Linked DNA regions of Drosophila melanogaster. The protein of the gene in region 2 purifies or fractionates together with the protein of the main gene of each other region. This does not show direct contact. Each region holds a gene or a part of one and is shown on either strand. Other genes may lie near its edges. The genes, in order: SdhA, CG1532, CG18789 and CG11777.

What was found.
Region 1: the proteins of CG1532 (region 2) and SdhA purify together in Drosophila melanogaster (affinity purification with mass spectrometry, with the first as the bait; one large-scale study listed by BioGRID). This does not show direct contact.
Region 3: the proteins of CG1532 (region 2) and CG18789 purify together in Drosophila melanogaster (affinity purification with mass spectrometry, with the first as the bait; one large-scale study listed by BioGRID). This does not show direct contact.
Region 4: the proteins of CG1532 (region 2) and CG11777 purify together in Drosophila melanogaster (affinity purification with mass spectrometry, with the first as the bait; one large-scale study listed by BioGRID). This does not show direct contact.

The regions. Positions count from the first base shown.
Region 1 is NT_033778.4:19,390,235-19,400,182, forward strand, and holds SdhA (succinate dehydrogenase, subunit A (flavoprotein)), read right to left. Parts: upstream 5,738-9,948; 5' UTR 5,631-5,737; exon of another isoform or gene 5,544-5,630; 5' UTR 5,510-5,543; coding exon 5,453-5,509; intron 4,210-5,452; coding exon 2,612-4,209; intron 2,556-2,611; coding exon 2,405-2,555; intron 2,345-2,404; coding exon 2,165-2,344; 3' UTR 1,629-2,164; downstream 1-1,628. Other genes in the region: CG11257 (uncharacterized protein), read left to right, coding at 1-1,256, 1,312-1,609; cer (crammer), read right to left, coding at 6,128-6,328, 6,390-6,428. UniProt on the Drosophila melanogaster protein: Flavoprotein (FP) subunit of succinate dehydrogenase (SDH) that is involved in complex II of the mitochondrial electron transport chain and is responsible for transferring electrons from succinate to ubiquinone (coenzyme Q).
Region 2 is NC_004354.4:21,023,686-21,031,601, forward strand, and holds CG1532 (uncharacterized protein), read right to left. Parts: upstream 4,677-7,916; 5' UTR 4,591-4,676; coding exon 4,495-4,590; intron 4,268-4,494; coding exon 4,218-4,267; intron 4,160-4,217; coding exon 4,053-4,159; intron 3,337-4,052; coding exon 2,723-3,336; 3' UTR 2,440-2,722; downstream 1-2,439. Other genes in the region: r-cup (ryder cup), read right to left, coding at 1-445, 715-1,013, 1,104-2,105; CG1529 (uncharacterized protein), read right to left, coding at 6,572-7,837, 7,902-7,916.
Region 3 is NT_033779.5:11,992,180-11,999,640, forward strand, and holds CG18789 (uncharacterized protein), read right to left. Parts: upstream 3,254-7,461; 5' UTR 3,139-3,253; coding exon 3,062-3,138; intron 3,007-3,061; coding exon 1,887-3,006; 3' UTR 1,810-1,886; downstream 1-1,809. Other genes in the region: escl, read left to right, coding at 1-295; Ada1-2 (transcriptional adaptor 1-2), read left to right, coding at 814-1,613, 1,678-1,804; Qtzl (quetzalcoatl), read left to right, coding at 3,635-3,764, 3,823-4,064; Ada1-1 (transcriptional adaptor 1-1), read left to right, coding at 4,725-5,524, 5,589-5,715.
Region 4 is NT_033778.4:10,464,314-10,471,244, forward strand, and holds CG11777 (uncharacterized protein), read left to right. Parts: upstream 1-4,302; 5' UTR 4,303-4,320; coding exon 4,321-4,323; intron 4,324-4,387; coding exon 4,388-4,624; intron 4,625-4,887; coding exon 4,888-5,133; 3' UTR 5,134-5,330; downstream 5,331-6,931. Other genes in the region: Caf1-105 (chromatin assembly factor 1, p105 subunit), read right to left, coding at 1,830-3,483, 3,543-4,132; whd (withered), read right to left, coding at 5,450-5,572, 5,633-5,992, 6,055-6,436.

The DNA.
Region 1 (9,948 bases), on a different chromosome or scaffold from region 2:
CAATTGATGGCTCCTGCGGGATCCGGCGGTGGCCTGCAGTTGCCCGTCACTGCGCCACAGAAGCTGAACTCCAATGGATCATCCGCTTCTGGATCGGCCACTGGTAATCCGCGCAACAAGTGCGCCCTAAAGCCGGGCTACTCCCTGATGAACTGGATACGGCTGTGCAATTCTGGAGCGGATCTATCGGGAACCGGAGGGCGTCTGGTGCCCGTGTCGCGAACGGAATTGGCCCGGCACAACAAGATCGACGACGCCTGGATGGCCATTCGTGGTCGTGTCTTCAATGTCACCCGCTACATGGACTTTCATCCGGGCGGAGTGGATGAGCTAATGCGTGGTGTTGGTCGCGATGCCACCAAATTGTTCGATGAGGTGCACGCGTGGGTGAACTATCCACAATTGTTGGGAAAGTGCTACGTGGGACCACTAAAAGATAATGAGACAAAACCTGCCAAGGAAAGTCCACAGATTACCAATGTGATATTGCAGCCTCCGGAAATAGTGCCACGCTTTGATTGGATTCAGCAGAGGAGCGAACTTACCCTGATCTTCTACACGCGCAGCCTGGCTAATCCAGGCCTGGTTGTCCGGCGGAAGGACCTCCAGCAACTGAGTGTGCGGGTTCTAGTCCAGCACAATTGGCACAGCTTTGATTTTCAACTGACCAACAATGTAGAATGGCCTCCAAAGTTAGCGAAAATCGGTTCGGAGACGGGGAAAATTGAGTTAGTTTTTGTCAAGGAGGAAGCGGAACCATGGCCAACGTATGGAACACATGTGTCCAACAGATTAGACTCTAGCCGATTACATGATGAAACTTTCGAGTATGAAGTAGTTCACAGCAAAGATTTCAATCACGACTCCTTTGAACTATGTCTGCAAAGTGTTGGGCAGAAGGTTCTGATGGTCCTGCCGGCTGGTTACCATGTGGATATAGAAGTCCCACTAGAGGGACGGGTAATTCAGCGCAGCTACACACCAGTGGATCACACCTATCTACGTTTGGAGAACATCAGATCATCCAGATCAGAATGCTTACACTTTCTGATCAAAAGGTATCCGAACGGACCCGTCTCCAGTCACCTGCAAAAGCTTGAAACTGGATCTCGCGTCCATTGGAGTGCGCCACGTGGATCCTTCCAGCTCTCTGATCTCACTGCACATAGAAATATTCTACTCCTAGCGGCGGGAAGCGGATTAACGCCAATTCTGAGCCTAATTCAGCCCATCTTGAAGAGAAATACAAACCGAATGTAAGTTCTTAAAAATCAGTCCCGAAAAAAACTTACTTATTTCCCACATTTACAGTGAAAGCTTACAATTATTGTACTTTAACAAAACCAATGAGGATATCTGGTTAAAGGAGAAACTCCATGAACTACACACCGACGACGAAAGATTCAGCTGCACAAATTATGTCTCCCAATCGGAGGATAATCCACAAAGAATAGCGCTGGAGCTGCTAGCCCCTTTGTTCCAGAAAAATCAACCGGAAAGATGTACTTATGTGCTCATTTGCGGACCAAGTGGATTCAATACCGCTGCCTTAGATATTTTGAGTCAACTGGATGTTAAGGCCAATCAAATTCACGTATTCCGCGGCTAAGTGAAGAAGTCATTTAGTTGCGCACTTAATCTTCATTACATTTATTTAATGTATAGCAAACGTTTCGACTTTTGTTCTTTTTTTATTGTTTTTACACGTTTTCGTTTTAATAATTTAATAAGTTTAACAAATACTAGAAAAGTGTAGTTGGATTTGTTTTCATTTGCTTCTAAACAGGCTGCGTAGTCAATATCGCCTCAGACCTAACTCGTTGTCTACTCACACACATTTTTCGCTTATGTAATAATGTAAATAACCGACAACCAAACAGTAACCAAATGGAGGGCAGCTTACAGTGAAACTAAGTAGAATCAGCGGAGTAGTAATAAGGATTTGAAAGATTTATAGGTGTATAGAAAATCTGGATTTACGTTTCATCACAAAATGCCCGGAACCGCTGCCGAGTTCCCAGTTACCAATTGGTAGCATATTGCGGCTCATTTGGCGATTTGACAAAATTTATTTACTGGCGCCCACAAAGACGTTTAAGTAGACATCCGTACGAGTGATGGTATGGGGTGTATATGCGGGTGTTCTGCAACTCCAAGTCTTGATTTAATAGGAGCGAATCGCTGGTGGAACAGTAGAGACTTCGTTGTCCAGCGTGGTATCGATCACGTTTCTGTAGTCCAGCGTAATGTCTCCGTTGTCATTGCACACCCACGAGAGCGTGTGCTTGCGCCAGTGCTGATCCATGGGCTTCTTCTGCTGACCATCCAGGGGCTTGCTGAAATCCTGCAATACATGTTGTTCCATGATAAGAAGTTCAGGGGCTGAGTGCCGACAGTAACTTACGTATTCATCCTCGCGAACCTTGAAGTCCTCGCGGGCGTGGGCACCTCGCGATTCCTTGCGCGCCTCAGCGCTCACAATAGTCATCTGGGCATTGGCCAACAGATTCTGCAGCTCCAGCGTCTCCACCAGATCGGAGTTCCAGATAAGCGACCTTTAAAGTCAAGGAATGTTAGAGGGAATCAAAAAAATACTTGTTTTTATATTCACCTATCGACAACCTTGATGTCCTTGAACTGCTTGTAGATCTCCTTCATCTTGTTCACACCGTCCTGCAGGATGGGGCCATCGCGGAACACAGCAGCATGATGCTGCATGGTCTTCTGCATCTTCAGACGCAGATCGGCGGTGGTGATCTGGCCGTTGGCATGGCGCAGCTTATCGAGGTTAGCAACAGAGGCCTCGCCAGCGTTTTCCTTGAGGGTGGGAGCCGGTGCACCAGGCTTATTCAGCTCGGCGATGGTCTTGGCGCATGCACGTCCGAAGACCACCAGATCCAGCAGAGAGTTGGCACCCAGACGGTTGGCACCATGCACCGAGCTGGAAGCAGCCTCACCAGCGGCATACAGTCCCGGCACAATCACATCCTTGCCATCCTTGTCAATGGTGATTACCTGGCCGCGATAGTTAGTCGGCACACCGCCCATGTTGTAATGCACGGTGGGCAACACGGGGATGGGCTCACGGGTCACATCAACACCGGCGAAGATCATGGCGGTCTCGGAGATGCCAGGCAGACGCTCCGCGAGCTGCTTGGGCGGCAAGTGGTGCAGTTGCAGGTACACGTGATCCTTCTCGGGTCCAGCGCCACGACCCTCCATGATCTCGATGGTCATCGACCGCGAGACGACGTCGCGAGAGGCCAGATCCTTGGCCACAGGAGCATAGCGCTCCATGAAGCGCTCACCATTACCGTTGATCAGGTAACCACCCTCACCGCGGCAGCCCTCGGTGATGAGACATCCGGCGCCGTAGATGCCAGTAGGATGGAACTGCACGAACTCCAGATCCTGAGAGGGCAGTCCCTGGCGTGCAACCATAGCAGTACCGTCACCGGTACATGTGTGCGCCGAGGTGCAGGAGAAGAATGCTCGTCCATATCCACCGGTGGCAATGACCGTGTTCTTAGCGCGGAATCGGTGCAGTGTGCCATCCTCCAGGTTCAGGGCCAGCACACCACGGCACTCGCCGTCCTCGAAGATCAGATCCAGGGCAAAGTACTCCACAAAGTAGTTGCAGTCGTAGCTCAGCGATTGACCGTATAGCGTGTGCAGCAGCGAGTGACCAGTACGATCAGCCACAGCACAGCAGCGATGGGCCTGTCCGCCCTTGCCGAACTTCAGACTCTGTCCACCGAAGGCGCGCTGGTAGATCTTACCGTCCTGGGTACGCGAGAAGGGCATGCCGTAGTTCTCCAGCTCAATGACAGCCTTGGGCGCCTCGCGGGTCATGTAGTGGATGGCATCCTGGTCGCCCAGCCAATCGGAGCCCTTGACCGTGTCGTACATGTGCCACTTCCAGTCGTCCTCCTCCATGTTGCCGAGAGCGGCATTGATACCGCCCTGGGCGGCGATCGTGTGCGAGCGGGTGGGGAAAAGCTTGGTGATCACCGCCGTGCGAAATCCCTCAGCCACCAGGCCAAAAGCCGCCCGCAAGCCGGCTCCTCCTGCTCCCACGACGATCGCATCGTAGGCGTGATCCACCACCGGGTACTGCTTCGATATCTTGTCCGGATTCGCCGCCGAGGCCTGCTGGCGGCCGTGTGTGATGTGGTAACTGCGCTGCACTCCAACGGCTGCGGCACGTTGCTGCAAGATATAAATTGGGATAAATAAATATCATATTGGATTGGATCATATTCCATGAAAAATAAGTCAAATATATCCCCAAAGCAATAAATATAGAAAATGGATCTATAGATTAAAATATTTTCAGAGTTGAAAGCCGGGGTTGTCAATAAAGCTATCAACTTATTGTTTGCTTTAGTCATTCAACGATAATTCACAATCGTTTGCGAAAAAAATTACGTAAACTCAGACTTAAAGATTACTGCCTGTGTTGTCATTTCTTAAAGGGAATGTTTTCTCAATATCTATTAATTAAATAGAAATTTTCAGTTTCACGAATACCCACATTATTTACGTATCTGAAATAGCTTAGTGTTATCTTATCAGAAAATTCCAAAAAATTAAGACCGGAAAGTGCACAAAACGTTGTTGCAACTAAACTTTCGGCCGTTAGTTAAATTTAAATGCAAAAAAAAGGTGTAGATACAAGTTGAGATAGTATCTTTTGGTGACGTCGGCAAGATAAGTTGATAAAAACAGAAAGAGCGACTTGCAGTGATAACTGCTTATGTAATAAACAAATGAAATAATTGAACTGGCATTTTTCGGCCGGGGTTTTTTGGTGGAAGGGGGCGGGGTAGATCAGCACGGCGATCAATTAGCTCCATTGTATAATCAGCTGTTAGTTCTGTGACGTGCCTCCATCTCTCTCTCTCTCTCGCTTGCTCTCTCCGCTTGCCAATCATTTGATTTACTATATACTACTATCCTCTCTTTTGTGAATCTTCCGATTAAGCGGTACTTATAAAGCTTTTCAAGGCGTGTCGTGCATCCAAAACCAAGTGTTTCAACTGCATTTTGTTGCACGAAATGCCCAAATGCACGATATCGTCGATGCAGGAGAGCATGGATGAAGGGGGCGGGGCGGCAGCATAACATAACCTCGCTGGTGCACACCTAGCTTTCCACTATAAAATCCGCAAAATTGCTGAACACTTGCTTGGAATGATATTCGCTATATGAAAATTAATATAATCTAGCAAAGGGAATAATTTAATGCACCTGTGTCCCACAATTTGCTCACAAATTACATAACACAAGTACGGGTGGCGCGTTTTTGGCCAATTCGTTGGTCTTTTTCTGTTGTCACATCACGAGCTGGCTGGCTGGGTTCTGTGTAGACCCGGTTGTATAACCACTCTTAAATCATTTCGTTTGCCACAGAGGAGCCTGGGTTTTCACTTCCAAAATGGGGACTACTTACCATGGAGGCGACTGCATTTTTGGCCAAAATCGATGGCACACGCATGATTCCGGACATGTTTGGCTGGGCTGTGAGGTTCTACTGCAAGATTCTGCAAGAGATTGGACCGAAAACGAGGTTTTACGCGCTTGTAAGATGGGGTGTTTGGTGTTGGTACAAAATAAAAACAAATAACTACGTGTATCGATGTGTCTATGTGATCGAAAAAGGAAAAGTTTACAAACTTTCAAATGTTGTGTGTGAACTGCCGCTCGTCGGCACTGCAGTTCGGTTCACTGACTCGCTCAATGAACGCTGAACCGGAACTAGTTCATCGCAGAAAGGCGTTAATCCGCTTTAAGTTCAAAATGTATATAGATACCGCGTACAAGCATACATATTTTTGGAATGGAATTTTACCATCTCAGCCGTACGTATTTATTTGCATATATCGTAGAGATAAATAAACCTTCGTTCATTGAACCAAAACCTAATGAACTGTTTTTCTCCCAGCCAAAGTGGCCAGAACACAAAAATCCCAAAATCTTTAAAATGTACAAAACAGCTGATTTATTGTTTATTTGGGGGTGGTTGAACGATAAAGATTTAAAAATTCAAATGCATATTTATAGAATTACAGAGAGATTAGTGTCTTTACAAAATGTCTATTTAAAATGAGATTCACTTGAGATTCTGTTAATTTGGCGGCACCTTTTTGCCACAACGCTGGGCAAATTCCTCAGGCGTGAGATCAGCCAAATGATTAATTCCCATTTTCCAAGTCACTTCGCCCTTCTCGAACTTCCGATTGTGTTCCTCAATCCGGGCTTTGGACTCGGCGTAGATTCTACGACGCATCAGATCCTCCTCTGCCTCGTAGTTCTTGTCGAACTTGGACTATGGTGGAATCAAGTGATTTCTAAATATTGCGTCGCTTGCTAGGACATATTGGGCCTACCTTGTACTCCACCCACTCCTCATCTGAAACCAGGGACATCTTGACACTTGTAATTTTGGTGACCGACTAAATTTCGTTTCAATTCTCAGGTTTTATCACGGTTTCGCACTGAGTCACAACATATAAACACAACAAAGAAACGATAATATATGCAGCTGATCAGAGATGCCACTTCGGTGAAAAACAAACATAAATAACAGTGGGCCCTCGTTTATGAAAACCGGATACTATTCAAATTCGATTTAAATCATATGCTAAATTCTCAAACATTATAAACATTTAATGCAAAACCATTGTTACATTTTTTGGAATGACTACTCAAAAAATAAATACAAATAAAAAAAACCTCTTTTCAAATACTTTTGAATTTTGTACAATTTTCAAGTTTTTATTTATTACGTGTTTACTTCTTCGTGTGTGTCGTGTTTTTTCTTGTGTATAATACGAATTTAAATATATATTTATATGCATTTTCTTACACTCTAAACAAATTTTATGAATAAACTTTCGGCTTCTCGTTTGCTTTTTTCAAAAGTTTTTTTATTATTTGCACAGAGTGAGAATATTGACATATTTCTAATGTTAATCTAAGGACAAAATTATACAGACTTTTTCGCCTTAATGACGCAAAAAAGTTGCTAGAAATAAGCTTCTGTCGTTGCGCAAATAATCAGTTTAATTATACTTTATATTTTGCCGTTTTTTTTTTTTGTTTGTTTGTTTGTCTAAGGCTCAGCAATGCAAGTATTATGTTGTAAAGAGAGTGTTTTCAATGTGGTGGTGGGTTTGGGTAGGAAAAGCAGAAACATTCGATTTATCTGGCATTAATCATCGGGGTTTTAATTTTATGTCAGTTAATTTGAAATGTAAATGCGTTTAAGTTGTGCCTTAAAGTTTTACATGCTATGGCAGTCGTATATAGTTAATTGCAGTATTCGTTATTCATCGATTTGAATATTATAAATGGAAAAGCGATTACAAATCAAGCACATCTACTTACAAAAGAAATGCTGAAATTTGATTCTTGGAGATAATTTTTGGAAAATTCCAACCATTCTCAGTGATTGTGTTGTTTCTGCTTTCCTCAGAGTAATCGCATGTTTTAATGCGGGCGTGGTGTATTTTTGGATTTTCGTTTTCTTCATAATTTATTGGTTTTTATAAATATATATATGTATATGTATGTATAAACAGTTTTACGTACATAAAAATATATAATTATTTATATAAAAAACTAATACAATTGCTGCATGTATACAATAATTATTTATTCGTTTTGTGTGCAAATTGTGGCTGCCCGGAATTTAAAAACAAAACAAAAGAACACAAAAACATAAAACGCGCTTTCACAAAACACACACATGCCTAGAATATCAAATTGTAGTTGTTGTCATCGAATTTATTGCATTTCTAAAAAAATATTGCATTTAAGTATTATGCATGTACCACGCTTGTACGTATGTGTCTAAAAACAAAAGTTTGCCTTTGTTTCAAACAAATCTTTGTTTGTCGTTAGAGTTGCCTGGGAATTTGTACCCTTTTTTATCTGTTCATTTGCTTTACCATGTCATCATGTAGTAAGGTGTGTTGCGTAGTTATTTTATAAGCTAATACATCTAGAAGATATTTGCAAGTTACTTGTTTAGGACAAAGCGGCGGTGTCGGATATTGCGTGTACACCTGCAAACCTCATTCTCGTTTATCATACAAATTGTTGTGTGAATTGCATTTATCTCTCTCTGTGTGTGTGTGTGTGTGGAGGGGAGGGTGTGTTGCCGTGGCCATCGTATAAATTAAAAATTAGAATTATATTATAATAGATATAAGCTGTGAATGCGAATTAAGGGAGGGTGAGGGGGATTTCCCCTTAGATGCATCTCGATCGATTTTAGCTGCTCATCCGTTGCTTGTTTAGGCCTCTCTCTTTTTTTTATATAATGCTTCTTTTGCTGATCTGGCTAAAGTTTCCATTTTCTCGTGGTATCATTGTCGTTATTTTTCTCGGTTCCCGCTGATGGTGGGAGGTTGGTCAAGATTGCTACTCCTACGGATCACGCTGATGGTCAGCTTAGGCCTCGGCCTTCTTCTTCTCCTTCTTCTTTTTCAAAAACGATGGTGTGCGCAGACCCTTCTTCTTCTTCTTGTCTTTCTTGGGGGATCCGTCCGTGGAGACATCCTGGAACCGTAATAGAAATTTGCAGTGAGAATATCGGTTGCGCTTCGGTTAGTAAATCAAATGAGGTTAGCTCAATGCATGATGATGTTGTTTAAAACTGGTTGTCTTGTCGATGTAGCAACTCTACTTGCTAATCGCTTACCACCCAGCTTACTGCTTGTGAGTGTTCGAGTTGAAGAAGAGATCCGTAGATCTTGGATCGCAGGATCAGTTCGGATGTACTTACCTCTTTACTGCTCTGCGAGAAGGTGCTCAAGTGTGCCTCCGAATGATCGCCATTTTGTACGTTTTCACCTGTTGCAAAAGGGTCGAAAATGTCGTTAGTAATTTGTATAGCAGTGTAATTTGGCATGGGTCTCCTACAAATGTAACTCAGTGGACGCACACAAAATATTTGATATTAATTTCGTAATTACTTTCACCATATGAGACACGCACGAATAATAATCTAACTAAAACATGTACATGTATTAAATGTTTTGATTGGTGTGGATGTATAAGTACATAGATGGAGTTTAGGATTCGCTATTCAAACACGAGGACATGCAGCAGGATCAGCAATATATGTTAAAAAGCAAGCAGACATGCAGTACAAAACACAAACATAAATAATAAATGAAATTATTTTACCTGGGCGCTGATTAAAGTTAACTGATTGAAATTAATGTTTCGTAAGTATGAACACTTAACCTAAAACTTTCTTAAAAACATTAAACATAATGAAAACTATATTTATTATATTTTAATTATAAAAATATGAAACGAAAATCAAGATTCGACAAAAATTAAACTTAACAATTTCACAGATGTTTAAATGTACAATGGTTGGCTCAGATTCAGTTTTAACTTTGCATTTTCATATTGTGCTTAAGTTACAGTCTTAACATTTAAATTAAGAGAACAAAGAAGTAAAAAATGCATTAGTTCGATTTGAAGATTTCCAAATTATCATCATTAAACTTAATCTAGTTGCTTTATACAATCATTTCACTGTTGTCGATTTTCAAATATCACAACAAAAGCGAAGATGTAAATTTTCCATCAAAATCATAATATGTATCTACGAGCTGACAATTCCATCGGCCAGCTGCGAGAAGCGAGCCCGGCACTCGTGTATGATGGCCTTGTTGTGCAGCATGTGGGCTGTCACCACGCTATTCAGCAGACGCTCCAGTTCCTTCTCCAAACTACTGAGTATATCATTCAACGGCTCACCCTCCGCTGGCAGTTGGGGAGAGGCTTGATCCTGTTTGGTCGACAAATCGCCCACGGCCACATAGCTATAGGTGTGGCACAGTTCTGGTGCCGAGTTGCTGCGGTGAACCATGGATGATGAAGAAGCCGGTGCCGGCGGATGCATAGTTGTGAAAGAAGGCGTAGCGA
Region 2 (7,916 bases):
CGAGAAGTTGGGCGAACAGTTGGGTGAGCTGAGGAAACTGGACCTGTTGGAGATTTTGGTGCGCAGCCGTTTGGTGGTCACCAGTTGGGACATCTTGCGCAACGTGATGTAGTCCTTGTTGAGCATGCGGCACAGTTCGATGAAGGTGCACAGTTGGGGCGACTTGAGCTGGGCGGCCAGTTCGTAGGCGGAGTTGAGCACCTCCGTTTGGCGCTCGTACTTGTGGAGCACCGCGTGTGACTTGGCCATCAGCATGGTGCTGAGAAACTCCCAGATCAGGCTATTGCATACCCTGGCCTCCTCGATGGCCTTCTGGGCGTAGGACAGGCTCTGCACAAAGTGGTTCTTCTGCATATGCCGATCGGCCAGCTCATGGAGCAAGTAGCTCCTTTCGATCGGCAGGCGGGCGAATAGAAGTCGTTTCTCCAGATACTCGATTTGGTTTCTGTTGGCGAATTAATCATGTTTAAAATAGGGTAATATTAAATTTCTTAAAATTAAATTGTATGTTGCGTTTAAGCACTCTTCACACTACTTATAGATCTTTAAGTAACTTTAACTTTAAGGAAATTTTAAAAAAATATGTATGCCATCAAATATAGATGGCGCTAGCTGATATTCTAGAAACATAAATACATACTTCAAATTATTATTGATATATCTATAATTTATCAATTGCGAGTTCGCTATGAGTTCGAAATAACTGAAACTCACTGGTCTGCCAATCGATCGGTGCTCTGTTTGTCGGCGCCGGCATAGGAGTAGGTGGATCGATCCCCGAAGATGAGCTCCGTGTGCTCCAGCGGCTTGGCCACCGGTATGTTGAGCAGCTGGCACATGGCGCTCTTGTCGTAGGGCGTGACCCGTGTGGGCGGCAGGCGGTATCCCTCGCACAAACTGAGGGCCAGATTGTTGTACACCTCGTTCATGAACTCCGCCTTCCAGGGCATCAGTCGATTCGTCTTGATGACCACGTAGCTGCCCATCACTTCCTCCACAAACTTGCGCAGGCGCTATAATTAATGTGGTTAGTTATTTTAAACTAGCTGGTTTCGCTTTTACCTGGCATAGGTGGAATATGTAACCCACCAGCCGTAGCTCACCTTGATATCATTCCGCCCCCGCAGCACCTTAATGGTCCGCAGGATGCTCACCATGTTTCGCCTGGTTTGGTACTGGATCCGGAACAAGTTCGCATCCCGCATGCGAGCCTCTATCTGGGGATTCCGATGGAAGTACTCCTTGTACATGGGTCTCCTTGCCTGGAGCATCCGTGTGAAGGTCTTAAGGCGCTGGAACGCATACTCAAGATACTTGGTGCGGTCCGCCGAGGAGCCGAAATGATTGTCTAGAAGACAGTTGGGATGCCGGCGAAGTGTTTTCAGAAAGAAAAAATCGGTCCAGCTGCGACCCAAATAGTTCTGATAAAATATTTTGGTCTTGCGACGCCTGCGCTCTCTTTCCAGTGGGGAGAGCATCACCTCCTTGCGATCGATCCTGCTCTGGACATCACACTCCTTTCGCTCCTTGAGGATTTTCCACAGCGGCCGCCTGTCGGCCCTTCGAAGCTCCTCCTGCTGATGGGCATAGAAGCCGGGCAGCTGCGCGGAATGCTCCATGAAGAAGTTGGCCAGGCTGAAGCCCGTGCAATCCTTGAGATTCTCATCGACTACCACGAGGCGATTCTCGAAGCTCTTTAGAGCGGTGCCCGCATGCCGACGGACATTGTCGTGCAGCAGGCTCTTGTTCTCCTCAAACCGATTCAAATCGTAGAGCGCATCTCCGAGCTCCATGGACACATTTGCGTCCCACGCCTGCCTTACCTCCATGGCCCTCAAGCTATCCTCCAATGCGTCCTGCGTCAGGGCCACCGATCTCTTGAATTTGCTGCGCAGATAAAGAGCCTTGTGATCCGTGCTCTCATTCTCTGTGATGCATTTGTCGAAGTACTTCTGGGCAAAGGTGTTCTTCCGCATCCGCGCAAAGTACTGGCCCCAACTGCGGTAGATCCAACGCTGCTGCTCCGTCGGCCAGTCGAACGTTTCCCAAGACTTCAGATTTGCCACCAAAAGGCCTGCCGGCGCCGATTGACTCGAGTCCTTCATTCTGCACCAACGTCTCCTTGTCGCTCAAGTAAAAAAAAAATAAAAATAAATTCAGGAAACACCCTAAAAAAATAAATGCTACAAAAAACGAAATCGAAACCAATTTGTCTCTTCTAAAACTGAAATGAAAATGAAAGGAAAATCCCGAGCACGTTGTTAGGATCATAAAAATAATACTTAAGTACGCAATACTTAATAAAATATATGTGTTCCAAATCAAGAATACATATACTTGAAATCCTTTTCGCTAGTAAGGACCAATTAAGCGGATTTATGACCATCTGTTTGTTTAGTCGAATTAAAAACCACAATAGCTGATATCAGGATGTCTTTTCACCTCGTTTAAAGGTGTTTTTGATTGATTCAATACTAGAAAAGCTAAAATACTTCTTATAACAAAGAAAAATAAGTCCCATACGCACGCTTAATTTTATCGACAGTTTATGTAATAAAATATATGTATGTTGTAAAACAAGAACGAGCGTAGGTGATGTTTTACAATGTTTTAAAAAGTATAATATCTCCGTTGAAAACAGCCATTAACCATTAGACAATACAAAATCCAAATACAAAAGGTGCTGTGTACAAATAACAGTGCTCAAGGATTGCTGGGAAAGTCATTTCGGTTGGAAGGGATCCTTTTCGATGTTTCGATCCAGTCGCTTATCGCCATCGGACTCCACCTGAGATAGCTGGCCGAAGCCCTCCTCGTCGACAAAGCAGATCTCATGACCATCGGGGTCACCGAGAATTACCACCGTAACGGTGGCCTTTCCTGGCGTATCCAGGGTAATCAGAGGTGTTAGAATGGCCCCGCCAGCTGCTTTAACCGCTTCTTGGAGAGGTGGCTGCTGGGCCGCCGGAATGGCAAAGGCGATTCGTCCATAGGCCTTAGCTCTATTAATTGGCTCTGAGATCTGGGTGATCTCCAGTGAAGCCTGCTGTTCACCGTAACTCAAACGCACGCTTGCTTCGTTCTCCTCGAGAACTTTCAGTTGCAGCAAATCGTGCCAGTATTTGCGCGAGTTTTGAAGATTGCTCACATTAAGCTCCACCGATTGGACAGGATCAGAGCTGGCAGAGGCCTGATCGATCACATAGAACTTGTAGCCATCGGGCGAGGTCAGCAGACTACCGGCTTTTCCAGACACCTGTGTCACAGGATACGAGTGCTCGGCGGCGCGGGAAAGGATATCCTTGGAGTGTATGGTCACGCCCCCAAAATCATTGCCTGAATCGAAAAGAATAAGTATCGATTAACAGGATTTATAAGTGTTAAAATTAACTTGGGAATTAATACAAAGGGAATCATTAAGTAGTATATTTCAATTACTGTACTGTACTTTTTCAAACATCTTCAAACATTCAACTCACATACTTTCGTTTTTAGTTCATTTTGTGATAGACAGAAATCTTCATCGCGGTTTTAACTAGAATGACTGATAGATTTCGACCTACTTATAGATAACTATTTCCGTATTCATAAAGAAAAAGATTAATAACCTACTATCTTTACGTACTTAAGACAAGTCACTTATCGAATAGCTATTATTAGTGAAACACTTAATTATGAAGTTGTCGAAGATAGAATAACTCATTTGTACTTTAAGATAAGCCATCCCAATTTTACTAGTGTTAGATTAAATATTTTGGATTATAACTCGGTAATCATTTATAGGGTTGTACATTTTTTCAAATTTCCAGAAATGTGTACATATGACTGCTCAAAGCTTAAATATGCGATTTAGCCTACCATCACTGAAGTTTCAAACTTTTTCAACTCTCAATTCTTATTAAAAACGCTTTAATGCCTGATAAAATAAATAGGTATTTTAGGATGATATTACTTAGCCGCTGTAAGGGTTAAAACGTTCCCGCTTGTTAGCTTGCACTCAGGACTTTTAATCCTCATGTGAGCCTAACATTTTTATCCGGTATGTGTCTTACCCATTTCGTAGCTGCTCACTCCATAGTTATACGTGAGTTCGATGACGAAATGCGAACTTTCGGGTCCATAACCCACCATTGTTTTGCTCCACCGATTGTCATAGGGCCTGTGAAGGATTAACACTACCAGTTAGTCCTGTCGCAACACTCCGAAATAGCACTCACCCGTTGCAAGCTGCGTCGCATCCCTCCTTGAACTCCTCATGCCGCAGCACCTGTTGCCGTGCGAACGAGCGGGATGGCGATAGAAGGGAGCAAAAACGATGAGAGAAAAATGAAATTTTAACACAGTCATTATATGACATTATCGGGCATCTGGGCTTTTTAATTAGCAGCCGCGCGTCGTTGACACGTTGTCCAGATAAAACTACAGCCAGACACAACAGCCTGCGATAAGGAAGTCTGCCGATTTCTGGCGATACGCCCGCCACACCCAGCTTACCGTCATTCCCAAGATTTGCCGAAAGAAGAAGGCGTTTTTCGCCCGATCTCCGATTTTGAACACATAGTGCAGGGCGCGTCCCGATATGGCCGACATCTTTGTGTTTATCAGCTGGCGTTTATTCAGCAAGTGCTTTCCGATCGAATTTCGGCCTTGTTTATGTACATTCCGTTTCAGTGTGGCCGTGCGCAGAACAGCAAATATTCCCAGCGACGGGAGCTTTTGGAAGTATCGATATTTTTTAGTTTAGACTAAATAATAATAAATTTAAATACACTGTAAGTTTTAAATTATAAAGTGCGCTTTTTGCTGATTGACATCTACGAGGAAAAAACTAATGACTATCGCACCTTCAAAAAACGAATATCGGAATTTACCTTTTGTGACACAAAATTTTACACTTGACAAATACACTTTAAAAAAAGAGTATATCCAAAATGTTGTCACAAAAGTCCTTCCATGAAAAGCAATTATCGTCAACAGTTTTATTAGGCACTTAAAATATGGAGTAAGCGAGCATATAAAACGTATAAAATACGAAGTAAGCGAACATATAAAACTATTTAATACATTGTAGTAGCAAGGATAAAATGTCGTGAAAGTAAGATATTTAAAAATTTTCGCTAATGCGTCCTAGCCACATTTGCATGATAGTTCATTGGATATACACTACGCGTCATCAGATTAGCGCCCCCTGCATGGCTCCGTTCATTTTTATTTTCTGGTTTTGCCATTGCACGAAAATTCATCAATGTTGTTGTTTTTTGTTCACTGACATTCCCTCTCTCCTTGAGGATAAAAAAAAGGTCCTAAGGTAAGGACAACAAAATTTGTTATGCTGTTGAATTGAAAAGTTTGCTTTAAGAGGAACCCTGTTATCCCTGCAGGAAATATACAATATCATAGCATTCTATTAATGCTCATAATCATAAAATTTCAGAAAACCCGCCAGATGTCGCAACCCTATAATAAACTTTATTCAAAAGAACGAAACTTATGGAAAAAAAAAATAATGGTGGCAATAACCTTGTCTTTACCGCGGCAGATCGCAGGTCCATACTTCGAATACCTCCCAATTCCCACGACTTCTCCGCCAAAATTCGAGAAAAAGTGTTGAAAACCAGATCAAATCTTTGATTCAAATGGTGATTAAGACAGCTAAACATAAAACACGAAAAACTGAAAATAAAACCACCTCTCAATAAGTTGCGAAAAAAAGCGGGTCTGAGTTTTGCTCGAGCTCATTTGACTTGGTCTAAGGAGTGGCGTCGTATTTTCGGACAAGAAGAAATTTAATCTGGAGAAACCAGACGGCTTTTTTCATTACTATTATGATTTGCGTACATTTTGGATCGCTGTCACAGTCGGGTTATAGGTAAATTGCAGTTTTAAACACCAAAAATGAACGCAAAAGATTATAATTCAAAACTGCATTTCCCTACTTTAGAAACGTTTTTGGAAATTTAGAATGACATTTTCAAATTGACAGTGTCTCAATCCACACTGCACGTTTGGCAAAAACATGGATTCCATACTACTACCACCATACTACTACTATATAATAGATAACGTGTGGGTATGGTTGGCTAGGAAGGTATACGAGGGTGGTAAACAATATGCCACTCAAAACGAATCGTTCACCGGAATAAAACTCGATTGGTCTGCGATTACTTTGGATTACCTACAAAAAAAATATATGATTCCCTTTCCAGACGAATGTGTGAAGTCCATAATTTCCTTTAAAAATATTCTAATTTAAATATTTAAGTGTTAATCATCCCAATTTCTTTCGAAATGAATCGAACCAACTTAAATTATCTTAGGGGGCGTTATCCTGATAACCCAATTTTAATTAACCCATTTATGGATTTTTTTTTTACTTAAATAAAAATCTATAAACAAGAAACTGCATCCTATATAAATTTTACATTTATAGAATTGTTCAACGTTTGAATGAAAAGCAATTTTCAAAACTCTAGCTTTAACAGTTTTCTAAATATCTCAAATCAAAGATTTTTGCTCAAGGGGCGCTAACCTGATGTATGTAACCGGACGTATATGGATAGGTTATAGTTGATCATAAGGCTTTCGAAGGGATAGGTTTGTAGTCATGGAAATGCCCTTCCAGTCGCGCCGAGTCTTGCGATTCTGCGTCCTGCTCTATTTTGTGCTGCCATTCCGGATCGAGTGCATCTTCCTGCTCTAGCTTGCACTGACTTGCCTCCAGCGGATCCGGTTCCGGATCGTAGGACTCTTGACCTTGTTGACACTCATTTGGCCGCTGGCTTGTCTGCATGGTCACCTCATTTCGGTGGCTTTCCCTGGAGAGATCTCTCTGCCGTAGCTTTTCCCCCTTGCGGAGCTGATCCTGTTGAGCTTCCCGAGCGCCCTGCTCCTGATCGCGGTCGTGCTCCTGCTCCTGCTCCTGACTCTCCCGACTGTGCTCCCTTCGTTTTCTGTGCGTCTTTCTCGCGCGGTGCCTTCGTAGGTGCAACTCAAGGGTTTGTCGCGAAACGCAAGGCTTCTGGCAGTGAATACAGGCAAAGGGCCATTCCTCGGCTGCCTCTCCCGAGCCCGTGGATTCCGTGTGCAGCCGCTCGTGCCGCACCTGCGAGGCATGCGTGCCAAACTTTTTCTCGCAATGACCGCACTGGAACCGCCGCTGACCCTCGTGGACCACCCGAACATGCCGGCTAATGGCGCTCTTGTGGCGAAAGAGCTGCGGACACTGCTCGCACTTGAAGCGCTCCCAGGTGGGATTGTGGGTGCGCAGGTGGGTCAGTAGCTCCGTTCGGGTCACCTTGGCCACTCCACAGTGCTCGCACACGTGCTCCTTGCGCTGGGCATGACGCTTTAAATGCTCGCCCAAGGCATTCTTTGTGCTGTACTGCCGGTTGCACAGCTCGCAGATTAGGTCGCGCAGCTCCTGCTGCAGTTGCTCCAGCTGTGGATGGGCGTTGCGCATGTGGGAGCGCAGCTGCTCATATCGAGTGAAGGACTTGTCGCAGCTGCGGCACAAGAAGGGTTTCGAGTAGCCCTGATGGACGCTGCGGATGTGGGCCTCCAAGTACGGTAGCTTGTACACCTGCTTGCCGCACTGATCGCAGGCCAAGCCAGCGCGTCGTTTACTACCAGTGCCTTGGCTAAGCTGTTGCTGGCTGTTCTCGTACTCATCTGGATACTCCTCATCCTCCCGGTCGTCAAGAATCTTCTTCTGATCCTCCTGCTTCTTCGACAGATCTACCTGCTGCCCATCCGCCTGCTTTTCATGCTCTTCCTCCAGTTCATGCTCATTTTCCTCATGGTTTTCCTTGAGTCCTTCGTCCGGCGGCTCCTCCTTCACCTAGGAAAGAACTAAGAAAGTATTAATCCAGGTTTAACAAGCCGAAAAGGACATATATATCCACCCTGTCGACCGCGAT
Region 3 (7,461 bases), on a different chromosome or scaffold from region 2:
GCCACAGGAGTCGGCCACCACGGTGCTGCATCACTTTGACTACAAGATGTGCGAGATCTGGTTCGTACGCTTCGCCTTCAACGCCTGGCAAAAGATTCTGGCCTTGGGCAATCAACTGGGCACAACATTTGTCTGGGAATTGGACTGCAATGATCCCAATTTAACAAAGTGTAGCCAGCTGGTTCATCCCAAAAGCAACTCCACCATCCGACAGACTTCCTTCTCCAAAGACGGTTCCATTTTAGTTTGCGTGTGCGACGACAGCACCGTGTGGCGATGGGATCGCGTCAATTAGGATGAGTGTTTCTAGGCTAAAAGAATTTTCCTTATCCTTCTAAATCCGATACCATATTTATGTAACCATAGTTATTTTCAGTGTAATGTTTACCTTCAATATTAAGTATGTTATTATGCGTAGCATTTATATACAATACTCATTGTATTGACAATTTATGTTAAATTATGTTAAATTTTTTAACATTAACCAAGATATTTATTCTATTCTATTACTTTTTTAATGATCAAATAGCTTCGCAAATATTATCATCTTATGTTGTGTGAATGGCGTGGGCTCTATCTTTAATGTTTATATTTTAACTAACTAACTTGTACACAATAAAAACTGTGAACACTAAAGATTAAAACCAATATTTTTTTAAAGGGTTCTTCAAAAATAACGGTTTTTATCTCAAATGTATCTGGTATTTTCAGCCGTTCTTTGAACGGTCACTCGAATCAGCTGCATTCATTTGTTTATATAGCAATTCGCAAACAGTTGGATTTTCCTGTTTAGTTGTTATTCCCATTACTAAAATGCTTACCGACAGAGTTCTGGCCACCAAGGAGGCGCTAGTGGTGGCTCTGGGCGACAACTGGGAGCGTTACCGGGCCAACATGAAGAATTGGTTTCGGAGCCGTTGGACTAAGGAGGAATTCGATGCGGAGTCGCGGAAAATCCTAACACCTGACAAACTGCACCTGCACAATCAGTTCCTGCTCGCCCTGCTCAACAAGATCGACGCCTTTGCTCCCCTGGAGAATCCTCCGGCCGTCCAGACCAGCAGCAGTAGTGGCAACCGAAGCAAACGGCGCAAAAGAAGTTCCCGCACCTTCGCCGAACGCCTTAATTTTGAGCTCAGCGACGTCCTGGACTTTGTAGCCGAGGACAACATGCAAATCATTCGTCCGCCAACCACGATCGGTATTCCGTCGGACCAGCAACAGCAACAGCTTCAGTCGCAGCGGTACTGCGCGCAGGAACTTTTCCTGCCCGACGCGGGATTCATTATGGGACGATTTCTGATCGGTGCCTGGGAAATCGGACTTGTCTCCGTGGACGACAATGTCGCCGAGTACGTTGCCATGGCCGTGCAAGTTCTGCTCAAGGATCTACTATCGGCAATCATCAAGAAACGAAAGCACTACAAGACCAGCGGCGAGGGAAACTTTTACTACGATGTAGGTGCTCCGTTGCGTGATCCTTCGCTGCGCAACACCGTCACCCGGCAGAAGGTCGACGACACGCCGCTGGAACTGGACAAGGAACTGAATACGGCCAACTTTATGCGGCGACAGAACGACGATGTGACCTTCCTCTCCGCCTGCGAAGAAGTGTAAGCTCCTGAATAATAATGAGATTTTCATGTGAAACACAAACTTAGGTTTTGTTTCTTTCAGCCAACCCACCGAACGCACAGTAATCACCCTCAAGGACTGCCAACTGGCCTTACGGGATCGCAACCTGATAGGCTCGCATGCCGTCTACTCTATAAACATGGAACGACTCAATATGATGATGCATTAGCTTATAAGTTCTAATTATTTTATTATATCAGCTTCTGTAAAAATATATACATTATACGCTAGTGTACCATTAAGTGTTTGGTTCAGCAAAAATTCCGTGGAGGCGGTTTGAATGGCAAGGCACCTGGTAGAAATTGATCCGCCTTGAATGCTTCGATTTCCTGCTCGTTGAGATCCTCCATGCGACTGTAAACTGAGGACTGGATTTCGTTGGTCGGTTGAGCTTGCTGCTGCTGCTGCTGCATCATTTGCTGTTGCTGTTGCATTTGAAATTGTTGTTGCTGCTGCTGCATTTGTTGCTGTTGCATCTGCTGCTGCTGATGCATTTGTTGCTGTTGCATCTGTTGCTGCTGCTGCATCTGTTGCTGCTGCTGCATCTGTTGTTGATTAGGGAATGCAGATGCTGCTGCTTGAGCAAATAATCCGGAGGCAGCTGCCTGCTGCTGCTGTTGTAGTTGCTGAGAAGCCTGAGTAAACATTCCGCCCATATTTTGGCTTGCGGCTTGGCCAAAGATTCCCGTCGACTGTGGTTGCTGCTGCTGCTGTTGGAAACCACCGAAAGGATTAGGATTCACTGGCTGAGCTTGCACCTGAACCTGCGCCTGGGCGAAAATGTTGCCCCCTTGGAAAGCTTGTGCAGCAGGCTGCAGCTGTTGCTGCTGTGGCTGTCCAAAGACACTTTGTGCACCTGTTGCCGCAGCTCCTACACCAAAAATGCTATTCCTTGCATTGGCATTGCTAATCGTTCCGCCGAAAATGCTATTGGTGTTGCTGGCTTGGCTTGTGGCATTCCCAAATATATTTCCCGCACTCAGCGTGGGCTTTCCAAAAATGGATGCAGATGTATTGGCGGCAGCCGGAGCTGCTGCAGCGAAGGGATTACTGGACTGCTGAGGGGCAGCCGACACAGTGCCGCCCTCCGGCGTCTCGTGGATCTTGATCATCATTTCCAGGACCTGCGGCGACATCTGAAGCATGGTCTTCATCTTGTTGTTAGCCTCTAGGACCTCACGGTTAAACTGTTGGCTGAACTGTTCGAATTGGTTTTGTCGTTTGGCCTCGTAACACATGAACCGCACCTCCTCGAAGGATTGGTCCTGAATAAAGTTGGGGAAATTCGCTTTGTCCTTAAAGGGTCCGTAGGCGGACAAAGGCCACATCTTGCCATTGAGGCTGGATTCCATGTCGGCTTTGAGATATTGCCTAAAATAATTAAGTTATTAGTTCATCTGCATAGTTTTAATATCAATGTACTCACTTAACATCGAAATGCTCGTTGTTGCACTTTGCGCCATAGCGGCAGGAGCCTTGTTGAAAGAACCGGCAGACAACCATATTTAAATTTGATTTTAATTTTTGCCTATTTCCTATATTTATTATTTCAAAACTGCTTCAACTTTTGTACTTTTGTTTATAATTGTCTTACTTTGCGTATTGAGTATTCTTTGAGTATTTTATGGCTCACTGAGAAAAATATACCGTGCCTATGCGCGCAATTTCGTGAATTCGTAACTTAAGTTCGCTGAATGATTAAGATAATTTTGTAAGCAAACATATTTAAGATGAAAACTGGTTTTTGAAAATATAGTTCCTTGTAAATTATACATTAAGTGCGAATATATCTGAAAAATATTGGTTTCTTGCACAGATGCTATTCATTTTTCATATGTTCAAAGAAATTCAGAAACTTGCTTCTGCATAATCGAATCAGATAATTTTAAAGTGAATTCCGGAGTCCTTTGGTATATCTCGTGCCGCCGAATACGGTCCCACTGATTGTGAAATCCGTGATAACGAATTTTAACACCAGAATTTCTAGGATTCCATCAGAATGCAAAAAGTGCTGGGACGCATCCAGGCGCAGGTCCTCCGCTCCCGGGCGACGAATGCATTAGCCAATGTGGTTAGACACGAGGCCACCTCCTCCAGGACAGCGGCTAAACCAGCCGCCACATCCAAAGGTAAGCGGATCCTCCAAGATGCACAGTTACCGCTTACCAAAATCGTATTCGTTCGTAGAATTCCGGGAGAGACAGGTGCGATTCAACATAAAGAACGAACAGACCGAGGGTAGACCACTTTACCTGGATGCCCAGGCCACCACTCCAATGGACCCACGTGTATTGGACGCTATGCTCCCCTATCTGACCAATTTCTACGGAAATCTGGTTCGTACGCTTCGCCTTCAACGCCTGGCAAAAGATTCTGGCCTTGGGCAATCAACTGGGCACAACATTTGTCTGGGAATTGGACTGCAATGATCCCAATTTAACAAAGTGTAGCCAGCTGGTTCATCCCAAAAGCAACTCCACCATCCGACAGACTTCCTTCTCCAAAGACGGTTCCATTTTAGTTTGCGTGTGCGACGACAGCACCGTGTGGCGATGGGATCGCGTCAATTAGGATGAGTGTTTCTAGGCTAAAAGAATTTTCCTTATCCTTCTAAATCCGATACCATATTTATGTAACCATAGTTATTTTCAGTGTAATGTTTACCTTCAATATTAAGTATGTTCTTATGCGTAGCATTTATATACAATACTCATTGTATTGACAATTTATGTTAAATTATGTTAAATTTTTTAACATTAACCAAGATATTTATTCTATTCTATTACTTTTTTAATGATCAAATAGCTTCGCAAATATTATCATCTTATGTTGTGTGAATGGCGTGGGCTCTATCTTTAATGTTTATATTTTAACTAACTAACTTGTACACAATAAAAACTGTGAACACTAAAGATTAAAACCAATATTTTTTTAAAGGGTTCTTCAAAAATAACGGTTTTTATCTCAAATGTATCTGGTATTTTCAGCCGTTCTTTGAACGGTCACTCGAATCAGCTGCATTCATTTGTTTATATAGCAATTCGCAAACAGTTGGATTTTCCTGTTTAGTTGTTATTCCCAATACTAAAATGCTTACCGACAGAGTTCTGGCCACCAAGGAGGCGCTAGTGGTGGCTCTGGGCGACAACTGGGAGCGTTACCGGGCCAACATGAAGAATTGGTTTCGGAGCCGTTGGACTAAGGAGGAATTCGATGCGGAGTCGCGGAAAATCCTAACACCTGACAAACTGCACCTGCACAATCAGTTCCTGCTCGCCCTGCTCAACAAGATCGACGCCTTTGCTCCCCTGGAGAATCCTCCGGCCGTCCAGACCAGCAGCAGTAGTGGCAACCGAAGCAAACGGCGCAAAAGAAGTTGCCGCACCTTCGCCGAACGCCTTAATTTTGAGCTCAGCGACGTCCTGGACTTTGTAGCCGAGGACAACATGCAAATCATTCGTCCGCCAACCACGATCGGTATTCCGTCGGACCAGCAACAGCAACAGCTTCAGTCGCAGCGGTACTGCGCGCAGGAACTTTTCCTGCCCGACGCGGGATTCATTATGGGACGATTTCTGATCGGTGCCTGGGAAATCGGACTTGTCTCCGTGGACGACAATGTCGCCGAGTACGTTGCCATGGCCGTGCAAGTTCTGCTCAAGGATCTACTATCGGCAATCATCAAGAAACGAAAGCACTACAAGACCAGCGGCGAGGGAAACTTTTACTACGATGTAGGTGCTCCGTTGCGTGATCCTTCGCTGCGCAACACCGTCACCCGGCAGAAGGTCGACGACACGCCGCTGGAACTGGACAAGGAACTGAATACGGCCAACTTTATGCGGCGACAGAACGACGATGTGACCTTCCTCTCCGCCTGCGAAGAAGTGTAAGCTCCTGAATAATAATGAGATTTTCATGTGAAACACAAACTTAGGTTTTGTTTCTTTCAGCCAACCCACCGAACGCACAGTAATCACCCTCAAGGACTGCCAACTGGCCTTACGGGATCGCAACCTGATAGGCTCGCATGCCGTCTACTCCATAAACATGGAACGACTCAATATGATGATGCATTAGCTTATAAGTTCTAATTATTTTATTATATCAGCTTCTGTAAAAATATATACATTATACGCTAGTGTACCATTAAGTGTTTGGTTCAGCAAAGATTCCGTGGAGGCGGTTTGAATGGCAAGGCACCTGGTAGAAATTGATCCGCCTTGAATGCTTCGATTTCCTGCTCGTTGAGATCCTCCATGCGACTGTAAACTGAGGACTGGATTTCGTTGGTCGGTTGAGCTTGCTGCTGCTGCTGCTGCTGCATCATTTGCTGTTGCTGTTGCATTTGAAATTGTTGTTGCTGCTGCATTTGTTGCTATTGCATCTGCTGCTGCTGATGCATTTGTTGCTGTTGCATCTGTTGCTGCTGCTGCATCTGTTGCTGCTGCTGCATCTGTTGTTGATTAGGGAATGCAGATGCTGCTGCTTGAGCAAATAATCCGGAGGCAGCTGCCTGCTGCTGCTGTTGTAGTTGCTGAGAAGCCTGAGTAAACATTCCGCCCATATTTTGGCTTGCGGCTTGGCCAAAGATTCCCGTCGACTGCGGTTGCTGCTGCTGCTGTTGGAAACCACCGAAAGGATTAGGATTCACTGGCTGAGCTTGCACCTGAACCTGCGCCTGGGCGAAAATGTTGCCCCCTTGGAAAGCTTGTGCAGCAGGCTGCAGCTGTTGCTGCTGTGGCTGTCCAAAGACACTTTGTGCACCTGTTGCCGCAGCTCCTACACCAAAAATGCTATTCCTTGCATTGGCATTGCTAATCGTTCCGCCGAAAATGCTATTGGTGTTGCTGGCTTGGCTTGTGGCATTCCCAAATATATTTCCCGCACTCAGCGTGGGCTTTCCAAAAATGGATGCAGATGTATTGGCGGCAGCCGGAGCTGCTGCAGCGAAGGGATTACTGGACTGCTGAGGGGCAGCCGACACAGTGCCGCCCTCCGGCGTCTCGTGGATCTTGATCATCATTTCCAGGACCTGCGGCGACATCTGAAGCATGGTCTTCATCTTGTTGTTAGCCTCTAGGACCTCACGGTTAAACTGTTGGCTGAACTGTTCGAATTGGTTTTGTCGTTTGGCCTCGTAACACATGAACCGCACCTCCTCGAAGGATTGGTCCTGAATAAAGTTGGGGAAATTCGCTTTGTCCTTAAAGGGTCCGTAGGCGGACAAAGGCCACATCTTGCCATTGAGGCTGGATTCCATGTCGGCTTTGAGATATTGCCTAAAATAATTAAGTTATTAGTTCATCTGCATAGTTTTAATATCAATGTACTCACTTAACATCGAAATGCTCGTTGTTGCACTTTGCGCCATAGCGGCAGGAGCCTTGTTGAAAGAACCGGCAGACAACCATATTTAAATTTGATTTTAATTTTTGCCTATTTCCTATATTTATTATTTCAAAACTGCTTCAACTTTTGTACTTTTGTTTATAATTGTCTTACTTTGCGTATTGAGTATTCTTTGAGTATTTTATGGCTCACTGAGAAAAATATACCGTGCCTATGCGCGCAATTTCGTGAATTCGTAACTTAAGTTCGCTGAATGATTAAGATAATTTTGTAAGCAAACATATTTAAGATGAAAACTGGTTTTTGAAAATATAGTTCCTTGTAAATTATACATTAAGTGCGAATATATCTGAAAAATATTGGTTTCTTGCACAGATGCTATTCATTTTTCATATGTTCAAAGAAATTCAGAAACTTGCTTCTGCATAATCGAATCAGATAATTTTAAAGTGAATTCCGGAGTCCTTTGGTATA
Region 4 (6,931 bases), on a different chromosome or scaffold from region 2:
AAATACCAAATCGATATATTTATTGACAATTTAATTAAGCCACAAACAAGAAAGTTATTCATTTACCTTTGAGACAAAAGTAAACAAGGTCGGTCTATATATACAGATATATAAATTTAAATAAATATATTTAGTAAAGGGAGAACAACAAATTGCTACAAACATACATACATATGTACTATATTTTTCTCGTAAATAATTATTAATCGAATACTCATACGGTAGCGACTATAATTTACCTCCTCGATGTCGCTCAACTTTCGAATCAGCAGAGATCGCAGAACTAAATAACTAATGAAAGCAGCATTCAAGTAATAGCAACATTCGATCATATAGTACAGCATAGTGTTAACCGCATTATATCGAATAAACTTTTTCATATTTTCAATACTAAATGGAATAGAATGGAACGGAAATGGAATCAAACATAATTCATATTTTTCTAAAGCTCATACACCTCTTTGCTCCACACACACCCACATAACTCATAAAATCGCAAGTCGCACCACTACTAAAATTACTTTAATAGCAGTTAAAACATTTATAAGTGAAATCCATAAAGAGCTATAACAACGGTAATGTGAATTACTTCGAATCAAATGTCCAAGGACATTCAGACACACGATTTTTTGTGAGTGGCGAATACCAAACTTTGGGATTTTAAGAGGAGCTGGAGGAAAGACGAGATGGCCAGTGGAACCAAGAGTATAGGTTAGACAAAGTTTAGACATTGTATCTAATCTAATTTGTAGCCTAATTATAAATGCTTTGGTTGTCCCATGCAACAGATCAGATTTGTTTAACTATTTATATACTTACCTATATTAACGTATGTGGAAATATAATTCTCCTCAATTCTTGAGCTCCTTTCCTCTCTCTAATGACCACATGGATGAAGTGTAGCTAATGGCCCATGGAAAATTTTTAAAATGAGTTTGAGGCGAGCCACGGAAGCTAACTAAGCTCGAACATGATGAATGAATTTGAATCGTTGAATTAAAAATTTAAAATAATATATAAAACATAAAAATAATGATATAAAAAACTGAAGTAAACCAAAATGTTTGTATGTAAAAGAAACTCAAAACGTTAGAGATCATCTACAATTTAAATAAATATAAATAAAACCAAGCAAGTTTGTTGTTTCTGAATGAAAAGATAGACCCATCTACTGGGTCCGAAAATACATCACTGGCGACGGCAGTCCACGTAGTGACGAAGCGCGCTAGGACAGATTGCATGGCACGACTTTCAAACAATTTTAAGAATCAGGAGGAAAAGTGGTGAAAAAGTAAAGGGGAAAATTAAAAAATTTGGTGCCACTTATTAGTCACGGAAAAGTAAAAAATCTGTTTTCGTCGCAATTTTGCTTGAAAATATTTAGCTGTCTGGTAATAAATGTCTTTTCACAAAGTCCTTCCAAAAAATACGTCCCCGTGCAAATTCATGGAAACTTAACTTGGGACCAGGTAGAACAACCCTCTTGAAGCATTTTTAATTTGAGGATTTCGTGGTACAGTTGACCAGTACAGTCACATAACTTATCAGATGACTTTTGTCACAGGTAGAAGAATCGTGTATGTTGATATAGGAACTACTGAAACTGTACAAACTGCAAATTACTACTGCATTTTGACTGCAATTTTCGTTTTAAAGATCCCGAAGCCAAAGCAATACAATTACCTCTAAACCTTGTGTTGCGTTTTATTGTGGAATATATTAGGAAGAATTTTGGCTATTTTTTACAATTTTGTATGGGGTATCCCCAAAGATCCCAAAAATCTTAATCTTATGAACATAAATCTGTTAAGTCTAATCTATTGCATTGTCTACTCTAAAAGTTTCTTTTTTGATTTGGGCGTGGATATGGTTCGCAAGGACACGCGACGTGGCGTCTTGTTATTCGGCGTGGATGGCCCCGATTCAGTCGGATTTTTTGGCGTTTCCTCTTGCGTATCCTCGTAGACCAGACGAATGTCCTCAGTTCGCTCGCAGGTGGCCTCGCTGGCCTCTATTACCGCTGGTTTCGTTTCGGTCTTTACAGTCTCCGGCAAGGGTTTTCGAGAATCCTTCTTTGTCGCTGGCAGGGGTGTGATGCTCTCGTCGAGGGGCCAGGCATCCATGGCCTCCTCCATTGGGACCACAGGCGAGTTCACCGGCATTTCGATGAGTACGCGTGGAGTTCTCCTCACTGCAATGGGAGTAGCTTGCTTGGCGGGTTGGCTTTTCGGCGTTAGATTAAATTGGCTGGAGCTGCCAGGAGTTCGTGGCTGGCGACGCACTTGAATTGGTGTTGCGGGTCGGGACTTCTTCTCAGGCGATTCGAACTTATCATCAGAACTGATGATCTCCTTCTCGAACACCGGAATCACTGCAAGTGCCGGCTGTGATGTCTCTGCTGGAGGCACTGCCTCTGTGCTCACCTTGCGCTTGACAGGTGATGCCACTGTTTTCTGCACTTGAGTCGTTTTTGTGTGAGTAACTTCCATTTCGTCTTTGGGCTTGCTCGATTCGCTATTCCCCTTATCCTCGGGCTTACGCGGAGCTCTGCGTATAGCAATCGGCATGGGTGCAGTCGAATTTTTACGGGGCGAACGCCTGATGGCGATGGGAGTGGGTTTCTCCTCTTCGCTAGCTTTTGTTTTGGGACTGTTCGTTTTATTCGAACTGACACTGTGCGTTGATGAATCGTTTTCAGCATCCAACTCGGGTTCCCCTACCTCTGTGATACCTGCTTCGGACGCCCTTCTAATTGTATTTGGTTTCGATTTTTCCTGCAGTGGTTTCCGTGGTTCATCCAACGATACCTTGCGCAGCTTTTGCCTCTTCTTTTTCAACACCGTTGCATTCTCTGAAGATTTTAGAACAACGCTCAGCACTGTTTCCATATCTTCATAGCAGTCGCCCAGCTCGGTTGGCTCGAAGGTAATCAGTGAGCAGTAGCCATCGGTGCTGGACACGATCAGGACGGTGCCGTCGCTCGACCAGGCCAAATCCGTAAGCCTGCTATAGTGAATGTTGGACACAATGGCAAACGGCACCGGCTGCTGGGTGTCGTAGAAAAACACAGCGTTCTTTGTGGCCACAGCATAGATCATGCGGTACGGCAGCGAAATAATCGGAGGATTCTTCTCCGCATTGTACGGTCGCAGACGGTACAGTACCGGAGAGCAGCGAACAGCCACCGCATATTCCTTGGGAAAGGGCAGCACAAAGGCGGGTTTGGACAAATCATGGCGACTAAACCCATAGCTGGTGTTTATGGGTTTCACAACACCATCGTAGTCGGTAATTCCTGACGGCGTTAACAGCAGCTTACCATCGGGTGTGAAGCATAAGCGGCGAAAGAAGGTCTGCAAGGTTCCATCTTGGTACAATCGCATGCTCTTGCCGTGCATCTCGTGGTCCTCTTTTACTGGGAGTACACATTTGCTGACTCGGTGCAGAACTCGCTTGGTATTGGCATCAAATATCCGCATTTGTCTAAAAGAAATTTAACTCCATTCGATTAAAGTTCGAACATTTTGGACTGTACTGCTTACCTATCGGTGCTCATGGTGGCGATGTATTGATTGCAGGGATCCCATGCCACGCCCTGTACATAGCCCTTGTGGTCATCTAGAATAGCCAGTGATTTGCCACTGTGCACATCCCAGAGCATCGCTGTGTTATCCACGGATCCGCTGACCAGAAACTGTGAGTTCGGCGCCCAGCTGAGATCGTAGATATCCTCGCGATGGCCGCGCAGTACCTTGAGAGTCAACCAGACCTCCTTGTCCTGTTCACTGCAGCCATCGGCGTCCACAATGTTGACAACTTCGTGGTCGGCCTTCTGTTTCCATATAAAGACAACACTCTCGTCATCGCCGGATGCCAGCAGTTCTCCGTTCGGTGACCAGCGGACAGCGTTGACGGCACGCTGATGCCGGGACAGGTCGGCGGCCAGCTCCACATCCACGCCCTCGGCGTCATCACTTCGGTTAACATACCAAATGAGGACATGGGCATCCGAACCACCAGAGGCTAGGCGGCATATCGTCGGAGAACGCAGCCCCAGGCCATTTTGCTGTATATCCACACTCAGGACAGGATCGCGGTTGTGCCACGAAATCTCGGGTATCTTGCACTTCATCCTGTTTACTTAATGTGCCGCTGTTGATTAGTTGAAGTGCGAAGAGAAAAATCACTTTATGCGGCAGAATTCGCGCCTAAAAGTGTGACCTTCGGTCACGGGAATACCAAATAGTGCTGTTTTCGATTTCTGTTATCGTTAATGGACCGATTGCATATCGAAACGAGGGCTGCACAATCACTTTTAAAATGGTAAACAAAAGTTGGAATATCTGATTTCTTACAGTTTTAACCGATTTTGTTGTGTTGTTTGCAGTCTGTAACGCTGCACACCGACGTGGGTGACCTCAAAATAGAGCTCTTCTGCGATGCCTGCCCCAAGGCCTGCGAAAATTTCCTCGCCCTGTGTGCGAGCGACTATTACAGCGGCTGCGTCTTCATCCGAAACATCAAGGGATTTATTGTCCAAACTGGAGATCCTACGAACACCGGAAAGAATGGACAGTCCATTTGGGGCCAGAAGTTCGACGACGAATTCAAGGAGACCATTAAGGTGAGCCGGCTACCTAGGTTTTACCAGAAAAACCCTCATTCAGTTGCGCCATGACAGCTGGCTTTAATACCCAGCATTCCGGCTTTAAAGGGTATATTGTATCTAATCTTAGAATGTAACCAGCACATGAATCTCAAAATGTATGTTGACATCCATATCATTTTACATTTTAATATGTCATGTGGTTGGGTTCGTTTTTCAGTCTAAAAGATTCCCAAGATACAAGAAGAAATCCTTTAATTCTTGACCACTTAATTCTTCAGCACACTGATCGAGGAATGGTTTCCATGGCCAACAACGGACCGAACGCCAATGCCAGCCAGTTCTTCATTACCTATGCCGCCCAGCCAAATCTTGACTTGAAGTACACGCTCTTTGGCCGTGTGATCGATGGATTCGATGCCCTGGATGAACTGGAGAAACTGCCCGTCAATCCCAAGAACTATCGTCCCCATGTGGACAAGAAGATCAATGGAGTAACTATACATGCCAATCCTTTGGCGACGTGATAGAGATAGAGACAAAGGCCAATCGTACGCTTAAAATGAAATATATTTATAGCACTTAAGGTTACGCGATTTCTTCGATTACAGACTAATTGATTGAGAAACATCAAATATTGTGCAAAAGTATCTAAAGACTAAATCTTAAAACCAGCCAAGTCACAATTGTTTATAAAAAATTGCATTGTTTATGTATAACTCTCACGACGACTTTTGCACTTCATTTCGAACTAGACGGATGTATCAGATGTGTTTAAAACGACCAACTAGGGGGGTAAAAACAAATGCTAACAAGAATCTCGACTACATGGACTAAACGGGATTATGTGGATTTGCCGTTTGTGAGTGATTTGGCGGGCTTCGGATGGTCCTTCATGTGCTGCTCGAACATGCTGCGAATGTCTGACAGAGCCTGCGATATGTTCTGAGCGAAGCGGTGCACATCCTGTAAAGAAAACAATTCGATTAGCTGTGCTCCATGCCATGAATCAGGGCTCCTCATTACCGTTTGCTGGCACGTAGTCTTCGCTGAGATATGGAAGAATATCAGGTTCTCTCCGGCAATAATGTACGACACACCGTAACCATCATCGGCCACGGGCCCAAAGCCGCCTCCAGCGCTGATGCAGTTCGGATGCTTCTTCAGGTCCATCTTGGGCGTCTGGCCGTGCGGAGTCTGACTAGTAGAGAGGCGCCAGGGTTCGCTGAGCACCTCGTTGAGGAAGGGTGAATCCACCTCCAGGTACTTGGAGACCACATACAGGCAGAACAGATGCCTGTCGATGCCACGACCGCACATGGCATCCTGGTAGCCCAACTGGTGACGATCGCAGGCAGCCTGCATCATCTTCACACGCTCATCGTTCTGTACAGCATGGATATATGGATTAGCCTTTGATCTAATTACATAAAATTGTAAAATCTTACGGTTGTATTTGGGTTCTGCATGGCCTTGACCCAGGCGGATGACTCAATGGTGCACGGACGCACTGTCTCAGTTCTTCCTTCGCGGAACAGACGGGTCATTGAAGCCTCATATGTCAACGAGAAGCGACCGGCATCTCGGTAGTAGGCCAACTGCAGGGCCATTTGTATGTAGGCATCTGGTGAGATGCGGCACTTCTTCATAAAGCCCTTGCCGTAATCCTGGTGCACCAGGATGCGCAGATTGACCTCGTTGATAAGCTTCGTCACATCGATGGTGGCCTCTTCGATCTGCGCCAGGCATGGTTTAAGATCCCAAGTGAGCCTAGTGGGCGTGGGTGGCTGGAACGCCGGGGTGCCCTTTGTATTACCCGTTTCGTCATATCTACAGGGTTACCAAGGGAATAGGTTAGCATTGTGGGGAGACGGTTTGTGGGCAAATTTATGGCAAGCAACGTAAATCAAAGTATTGTTAATTTTGTGTAATTGTTGTTAGTCACGAAAACAAAATAAACTAAATGTTTACTTTTGGGTTGATTACAATTTGTAAATACAGTAAATAAAGACAGTAAGGAAAGTAAGGAAAAACAACTGAAATGGCCAACATAAGCTTATATAAAATATGCTGCGTACTGATCAAACTATTCCTCATGTAATAAATTAATAATCCCTTAAAACGTGTCTGGCATTCGCATACTAGATTTTGTATGTTTCAAGTTCGTTATGCTAGTATTTACTGTATGGCGAGATCATTAAAGCTTTTAGCGCCTAGTGATCTCTCGTACTCAACCCAAAAATGACTTGAATAACTTTGCTTTGTGCTTGTGTGCATTGTAGTTAAGTGTTTACCCATAAATATCATCACCAAATATATACTCCC